2 linked regions of the Macaca mulatta genome follow. The protein of the gene in region 1 interacts with the protein of each later gene in a biochemical or structural test. Links are inferred from orthologs where the notes say so. Each region holds a gene or a part of one and is shown on either strand. Other genes may lie near its edges. The genes, in order: RNH1 and ANG.

Region 1 (3,803 bases):
TTTCCTCCTGTGACCGATCAGTGCCTTCGAGAGATACTTTAAATTCTTTTTGTTTTTAGAGACAGGGCCTCACTCTGTCACCCAAGCTGGAGTGGTTCCATCACGGCTCCATCATGGCTCATGAAGCCTCGACCTCCTGGGCTCAAGCAGTCCTCCTGCCTCAGCATCCCGAGTAGCTGGGATTACAGGCACCTGCCACCACGCCCGGCTACTTTTTGTATTTTTAGTAGAGACGGATTTCACCATGTTGGCCAGGCTGGTCTCGAACTCCTGACCTCAGGTGACGCCCACCTTGGCCTCCCAAAGTGCTGGGATTGCAGGTGTGAGCCACCGCGCCCGGTCTGAATTTTGTAATTTCTTTCTTTCCTCCACATTGATCAATTGTCATTCTTTTGTGAGCAAGACCTGGTTTTTTTCCTTTCTGTATTTATTCAGTTATTCATTTAATCAGGAAGGACTGGAGTATGTGTATTTGTCATGTTAGAAGCTGGTGTCACTGTGTATTTGCTCCGGTGTCTGAACTACCTGCTGCGTCCTGTTCCAGGCAGTTCCCGTAGGTGTCACCTCAGACAGGTTTGATTTTTTCCCTAGAGACAGACCAGGAGCTTTTGTGCTTCGTGCCTCAGGGTTGGAGGCGAGGAGCACGTGAGGCCTCAGGCACACGTCTGCATACGTGCAAGCATCTTAAAACTTTCTTTTTTTTTTTTTTTTTTTTGAGACGGAGTCTCGCTCTGTCGCCCAGGCTGGAGTGCAGTGGCCGGATCTCAGCTCACTGCAAGCTCCGCCTCCCGGGTTCACGCCATTCTCCGGCCTCAGCCTCTCGAGTAGCTGGGACTACAGGCGCCCGCCACCTCGCCCGGCTAGTTTTTTGTATTTCTTAATAGAGACGGGGTTTCACCGTGTTAGCCAGGATGGTTTTGATCTCCTGACCTCGTGATCCGCCCGTCTCGGCCTCCCAAAGTGCTGGGATTACAGGCTTGAGCCACTGCGCCCGGCCTTAAAACTTTCACAGAACAGTTCTCCTCTTTTTTGTTTCATTTCTGCAACGTCCTGTGTGACTTGCCGTGCTGTCTTCTGGGCCCGCTGATGGGTTGTAATCTGCGCGTGGGGTAGTGGAGGAGCCTGAGTGTGGCCCGCATGACCCTGGGGTCTGGTTGCAGGCTGGACGACTGTGGCCTCACAGAGGCACGGTGCGGCGACATCAGCTCGGCACTCCGAGTCAACCCTGCACTGACAGAACTCAGCCTGCGCAGCAATGAGCTGGGTGATGCTGGCGTGCACTGCGTGCTCCAGGGCCTGCAGAGCCCCTCCTGCAAGATCCAGAAGCTGAGGTGAGGTGGGGCCTGGCACTGCCTCTGGCCTGGTGCGGCCTGCTTTGGTAGCCCGGCAGCAGGGGAAAAAGCTGCCAGGGGCTCGTGGGCAGCTGTGGGTGGGCAGGCGGTGGCAGCGGGCATTTCCAGCATCAGCCAGAGGCACACAGGCCTGGTGGCCTCACGGCGGGGGGACAGGGCCCCTCCTGCCTTGTCCCAGCCCCTGCGCCCAAGGTCTGGGCCCGCCCGCCATCCCTGGCCTTCCAGCATCACCACAGGACCCCTGCTGAAGGGTGTGTCTGCAGACAAGGTTTCCCTGAGCCGAGCCACACGTGTGCCCTCCTTCACTCGGCCTGACCAGGGAAGGAGCAGTACAGACCTACTGCCTGCAGAGCGCCGCTCCGGGCTCCAGGCTCTGGCAGGTGAAGGGTGTGGCAGTTTGGCTCAGGGGAGCCCTGCTGACGGCCAGGTATGCTCCAGCCTCCAGAACTGCTACCTGACGGGGGCCGGCTGCGGGGTCCTGTCCGGCACGCTACGCTCCCTGCCCACGCTGCAGGAGCTGCACCTCAGCGACAACCTCTTGGGGGATGCGGGCCTGCAGCTGCTCTGCGAGGGACTCCTGGACCCCCAGTGCCGCCTGGAAAAGCTGCAGTGAGTGTGTCCCCTGCCCCGGGACCCATGCTCTCCACTGCCTGTCCCCCAGCCAGCCCCCTATATAGCACATCGCCTGCCAGGAGCCGTGAGGAGGGACTCAGGTCACAGGGTCCTTGTGGTGCTCTCCCCTCTCCATGATGCTGGGACTGGGGGGATCTGTCGTCGCCCTCCCTCCCCCTCCAGTTGCCCTTTGCAAGGCACAGCTGCCCCAGGACCTGACAGTGGGAACAGACCTGGCCGTGAGTCCGGCTCCACTCACCACTTCAGTGTGTGTGGGGGGCCCGGCCACTGTGAGTTGACCACGGCCTGGCACGTGCAGGCGGCCCTGCCCTCCAGAGGCTGGTTTCTTTGTCCTGGGCCTGGTTGGGCCCCGAGGTCCGAGGTCGGGGAGGGGGTGAGGGGTTTCCAGAAGGAATGCCGGTGTCCACAGAGGCCTGGGCCTCTGGATGAGTCTGGGGGGGCCCTCAGCACTGCCACCTGATGCCTAGGCAGGAGAAGGCTGAGGGAGAGATGAGACACCAGCACCCCCCTGCACTCCCTGGCATCACACCCTTGGCTGGTGCACATTCCTGTGTGGTGCTAAGCTCGGCTACCCCCCAGGCTTGAGTATTGCAACCTCTCGGCTGCCAGCTGCGAGCCCCTGGCCTCCGTGCTCAGGGCCAAGCCGGACTTCAAGGAGCTCACGGTTAGCAACAACGACATCAATGAGGCCGGCGTCCGTGTGCTGTGCCAGGGCCTGAAGGATTCCCCCTGCCAGCTGGAGGCGCTCAAGTAGGCCCTGGGCCTTGGGGAGGTGCGGGGTGTGGGCCGGGGGTCCCATGCTGCTTCACGCGTGACCTGCGTCCCCAGGCTGGAGAGCTGTGGTATCACGTCAAACAACTGCCGGGACCTGTGCAGCATCGTGGCCTCCAAGGCCTCGCTGCGGGAGCTGGCCCTGGGCAGCAACAAGCTGGGTGATGTGGGCATTGCAGAGCTGTGCCCAGGGCTGCTCCACCCCAGCTCCAGCCTCAGGACCCTGTGGTGAGTCACCTCCCCGAGGCCTCCTTCCTGGAGGGTCAGGGGCCGCGGGCCGTCCTCAGAGCCCTCCCCCACCCGCTGGGCGCACCTCAGGCCATGAGATGGCGCTGAGGAAAGTCTGGGGGGGTCCATGTCCTGCAGGATCTGGGAGTGTGGCATCACCGCCAAGGGCTGTGCGGATCTGTGCCGTGTCCTCAGGACCAAGGAGAGCCTGAAGGAGCTCAGCCTGGCCGGCAACGAGCTGGGGGACGAGGGTGCCCGGCTGCTGTGTGAGACGCTGCTGGAGCCCGGCTGCCAGCTGGAGTCACTGTGGTGAGTGTGGCTGTCGGGGCAGGGCCCTGTCGCCCAAGAGAGGGCCAGGGTCACCAAGGAGACCAGGGGAGGAGTGAGCGACTCCAGTGGAGGTGCTGGGCTCAGCTCTGGCGTTCAGAATGCATGGGCCAGGGAGCAGCCTGTGGTTTGATAGTAACGGTGCTTGGGGCTGAGGACCAGGTGCAGGTGCCCACACCTTGGGAGGCTCTCAGATGTTTTTGCTCAGGTCCATGTGGGGCTTTCAGGAGAAGGGCCAGTTGCAATTGTGGGCCAGCCTGGTCCGCTGCCAGGCCTCAGTCCTGTCTGTCCACAGGGTGAAGTCCTGCAGCTTCACAGCCGCCTGCTGCTCCCACTTCAGCTCGGTGCTGACCCAGAATAAATTTCTCCTGGAGCTGCAGATAAGCAACAACAGGCTGGGGGACGCGGGCGTGCAGGAACTCTGCAAGGGCTTGGGCCAGCCCGGCTCCGTGCTGCGGGTGCTCTGGTGAGTGTGAGAGGGACACGAGTACA
Region 2 (4,335 bases), on another chromosome or scaffold:
TCTCACATACATGACTACATTCAACCAGCACCAGAACTGTGTGAGGTAGGCATTATGTAAATATGCTCTGCTCATGAGGAAACTCTAAGAACAAACAGCAGAGGAATGGTGGAGTCAGACTTTGAACCCTTTGTAAACAAGGAGAAAACTGACCCATCTTTCCAGACTTAGCTCAAGCAACACCACCTCTTTTTGAGTCCCGAAAAGCGGAACTCCGCCACAACATACAACCCACATGTGCCTGCATACACACAGCGCCATGGCCTGAAGCTCCAATTCAAGCACCAACTCACACAAACAGAGCAGCCTCTGATTTTAGAGTTCTGCAGTAGTGCTGGGCTGGGGCAACCAGCAGCCTCTGAATATAGTCAGGTCCCTTCTCTGCCTCTGGGCCTTTACTGGACAACCTTTGGAGGACTCACAATCTGCCCACAACGCCAAAAGACAGTTTTTTGTTTTTCTTTTAAACTTGGCACAAGGAAGTTTTGTTGAAACAAAAAGTAGGGTTTGGGGGAAAAATTACTATTTCATTAGAATGCATCTAGGTACTTAGTCATTTGTGTTTTAAAATACAACAAGGAATTATATTCTATGATTAAGGAACATCACATCTTTGTCAGTAATTTTAGTACAAATGAAGGAATTGCCAATTGCAAAAAAACTTCATATATTTTTTAAATGTTCAGACAGTTTTAACTTGAAAGTCATTCCCCTTTCCTGGAGATTTTTTTCTCTCTCCCTCAAGCCAATAATGTCCCTGCACACAGACACGGGATGCATGGGTCCTGTTTCCAAGGACTCTAGTGTTGGAGCACTTTCCTCCTTCATACAGAGTATCTATGTTTCATTCTGTCTCAGGACTAAAATTAGATGATGGGAACAATGGACTAAATAGTTTCTAAATTTCTTTATTATTCTAACAGTTTAGGTCTATAAGCATGAAACTTAATCAGTAATGGAAGTAACAGGTAAAGAAGGAAAAGCCCCCGTGAAAAGAAGAACCACGTCTCCAGGAAGTGGCAACACTACTGACTGAAGGACAGTGGGGACAAAGTCCTGCTGACACGCCTGTATTTCCAAACAAAGACAAAAATTAAACATTTGCTTTTCAACCCACTCTGGGCTTTGTGCCCACTCCCTCTTTCCCAGGTATTTCATGGCATTCTTCTGGGAATAACTGTTTACAGAGAATTACAGAGAATCTGCTTAAATACAGATTAAATAAAAACTCCTAAAGAAAGGTTTCACTGGCCTCCACTGGTCCACTTTTTTATCCATCTACTTTAATTTGAGTCACAGTGACAAATGCTTCCAACAATAACTTGGCAAACCTCTTATACTTGCCTGCTTGTAACCTGATTATCTGCTGTCAGCAATAGCTAAAGCCATTCCTCTTTTCCTGGAATGATTTTTTCCATCCTCTCTGCCAAACTATAGTTCGTCTCCACATTACTAGAGTGCCTCATATCCTGTTTCTAACATCGCACCACTCCATGCAGTCACAGAACAATAGTGGGAGGGGCCTCTGAGACCGTCTGTCCACCCCTCATACTAAAGAAAAGGCAACTGAGGAACAGAGAAAGAGACATGTATTGCCCAAGGAACTAACTCATGGCATTCGCGGGACTAGAAGCTTTCCAATGCACCACACAACTGTTTTTTTTGTTGTTGTTGTTGTTTTGAGATGGAGTCTTGCTCTGTCACCCAGGCTATCGGCTCACTGCAACCTCTGCCTCCCAGGTTCAAGGGATTCTCGTGTTTCAGCCTCCCCAGTAGCTGGGATTACAGGAGCTCACCACCGTGCCCAGCTAATTTTTGTATTTTTAGTAGAGACGAGGTGTCACCGTCTTGGCCAGGGTGGTCTCGAACTCCTGATCTCGTGATCCACCCACCTCGGCCTCCCAAAGTGCTGGGATTACAAGCATAAGCCATCGTGCCAGGTCCACACAACTTTTATTTTCCATACTAGTACTGTCTAGACAATCAAAGCTAACTTTAAAGGGGCCACTGAAAGTTGCTGTTCAAAGGAAACCTACAGTGACTATTACCATAAATTCAAAAAATATTTTACTCTGCTTGTCATCCGTAAAAGAATTGCTTGAATTGAAGCGTATGTAACAAACCTATCCTCTTGCAAAACTAATTAGTGGCTCTGTGGTTAAGTAAGTCTTGGAATACCTGCGGCTGCTTCTGGGAAGGTGGTCCTGTGCTGCAGATACATATGTCACTTGGGTTTCTATTGATTACATTATTACTTGATTATAAGATTCTCACTGTCAGGAGGGAGGATCTTGGCTCATCTGAGATTTCCTTAGCCCCCTGAGTGGTGCTGAAATTGTTTTAATAAAGATGTTGCGCTTTACTCATGTGCTGCTGTTAGCATTTGACGTGCTGTCTCAGAGTGAAAAAACGGAGGATCCCAGCCTTCCAGTAGGAAGGCTTAAAGAGGCTGTTGGCAAGTGTCTCCAAGAATTGCACAACATTTGTTGAGGGTGGGTTAAGGGTGGGGAGGCAGAGGAGAGTAAACAGAAAATACCGATCCCCAAATGTTAGTTACGCTTGCAAAAACTAAGGCCTCCTTCAAAAATCTGGTGATTAACCTGAATAACAAGCAAAGCTTTCTTAGTTGTGGGCAAGTGCAGACCTCCTAGGGCTTCCCTTAGGTTCGGCGATTCTGTGGTCCCCCTCCAAGCCTACTAATCAATAGAAGCTGGCATCTCTGCCCAGCTGCGCAAAGTAAAAACCTGAGTGGGAATGTAAAGTCCTTAACTCATACAAATACTGGACTTTCACCTCCCTCCCCATTCCTCCCTCTCCAGCCCAGTCCCGCAAAAGCCTCCCCGAGGAGTCCCAAGCTGCTTCTACTAGGAAAGAACTCCCCGGCCACAACGCCCCTGATGTAGCTACCAAAGAGCAAGAGGAGCAGGAGTGTGAACGTACCTCGGCCTCTGAACAAGTTGGCAGAAATGGGCAGGACGGTAGAAAGAAGTTTTGTTTCTCACCAGCTTCTTCCTCCCTAGTACGACGATGGGGAGGCCGTAGAAAACGCAAAGATGTTCTTTTGAATCCTGCCTTGCATCTGGGTGGAGTGGCGTGCTTGCGTGAGTGTGTGTACCCGGACGGAGATGGGGGCGTGGTGAGGAGTGGAGGGTAGGCTTACGAGCCTCTGCGTAGCTGGGACCGCGCCCTGCTTCTCCCAGGAGGCCTCTCCCGCCTGCATCCGCCCTTGGAGCTGGCGCTGCAGCAGCCCCTCCCCAGGGGCCGCAGGGGCACCCCAGGCAAAGAACGAGTCTAGGATCCACGCTCCTTCCTCAGCTGGAACCCAACGGGCAGCAGCCGCGAGCGCACTGCCTCCACGGAGAGCAGATGGCGGGAAACTGGCTTCTGCTCCCAAGAGCCAGGCGGCCCTTAGGAGACTACTCCTGGCTGAGTGTCCAGGAACCCATGAAGCTCGGTCTTGACACTGGTCGGCAGCCCCATCTGCCACGTACTTATTTGGTGCTGCTTTCTTTAGCAGGACAGCCCAAAACGAGACAGTCTGTATTTCAAATTTAACGGAAACTTTTTTCAGTAGTTGCCAAAAGAGGGTGGAAAAAACAGTAAACCTGAGGGCTCGTCCGGGATTTGAACCCGGGACCTCTCGCACCCAAAGCGAGAATCATACCCCTAGACCAACGAGCCACCGTGTTAGAGGTGGCTTCATATTACTCTGAATTTCTGTTTTCCGCCTGCCGTTCTGAAGGTTTTTCTGTTTTTGTTTTTTTTCTTTGTTGTGACATTTCCCTTTGGCCTTATTTAGTTATTCCTTCCATCTTTACCAAGTTTCAAGTATGGCTTATTGTCTGGCTTATTCTCCTCGATCCAGACGCAGGATGGGGTGAACGAAGGCAACTTTTTAGACTTTAGACATCCTTGCGTCTCACTGAGCCCGGGAAGCGATTTAAGCTCACTAGAGCCTGGTGGGAACCTGGAGGGGTCTGAGATAGAGATCGAGGGCCAGAGCTGAGCTCGGTTGCAAGGCTGTAGGTTACTGAGCCCCAGGACAGACGCGCTCTATGTATATACCTGCCGGCCTTTGGACTTAACGTAGAAGCCAAAATATAACACACTTCGGTAAGATAACGGTGCCTTCCCCCAACGGTTGGATGATTCGGGTCTACTGTCTTTCAGAGCTAGGTAACCAACTTTTCAAGGAGTGATCAACGCAGCTCAACTCGTGGCTAAGCTGTTTCCTTCGGACAAGGGTAAGAGATAGAGATTTCATCACGTTAACATAGGGATGTATTGCGCAAACGAAGAGCTACTGTAAACCCCAAAACATCAACCTCTCCTTCG

Evidence for each region.
Region 2: the proteins of RNH1 (region 1) and ANG are reported together in a solved structure, tested with the Homo sapiens proteins (3 studies listed by BioGRID and IntAct, with this or other methods). The link is inferred for Macaca mulatta from reciprocal best matches to the Homo sapiens genes RNH1 and ANG.

Annotation. Positions count from the first base shown.
Region 1 is NC_133419.1:390,455-394,257, reverse strand, and holds part of RNH1 (ribonuclease inhibitor), read left to right. Parts: intron 1-1,160; coding exon 1,161-1,331; intron 1,332-1,790; coding exon 1,791-1,961; intron 1,962-2,564; coding exon 2,565-2,735; intron 2,736-2,813; coding exon 2,814-2,984; intron 2,985-3,122; coding exon 3,123-3,293; intron 3,294-3,606; coding exon 3,607-3,777; exon of another isoform or gene 3,778-3,803. UniProt on the Homo sapiens protein: Ribonuclease inhibitor which inhibits RNASE1, RNASE2 and angiogenin (ANG). May play a role in redox homeostasis. Required to inhibit the cytotoxic tRNA ribonuclease activity of ANG in the cytoplasm in absence of stress.
Region 2 is NC_133412.1:93,530,381-93,534,715, reverse strand, and holds the start of ANG (angiogenin), read right to left. Parts: upstream 2,880-4,335; 5' UTR 1-2,879. UniProt on the Homo sapiens protein: Secreted ribonuclease that can either promote or restrict cell proliferation of target cells, depending on the context. Endocytosed in target cells via its receptor PLXNB2 and translocates to the cytoplasm or nucleus.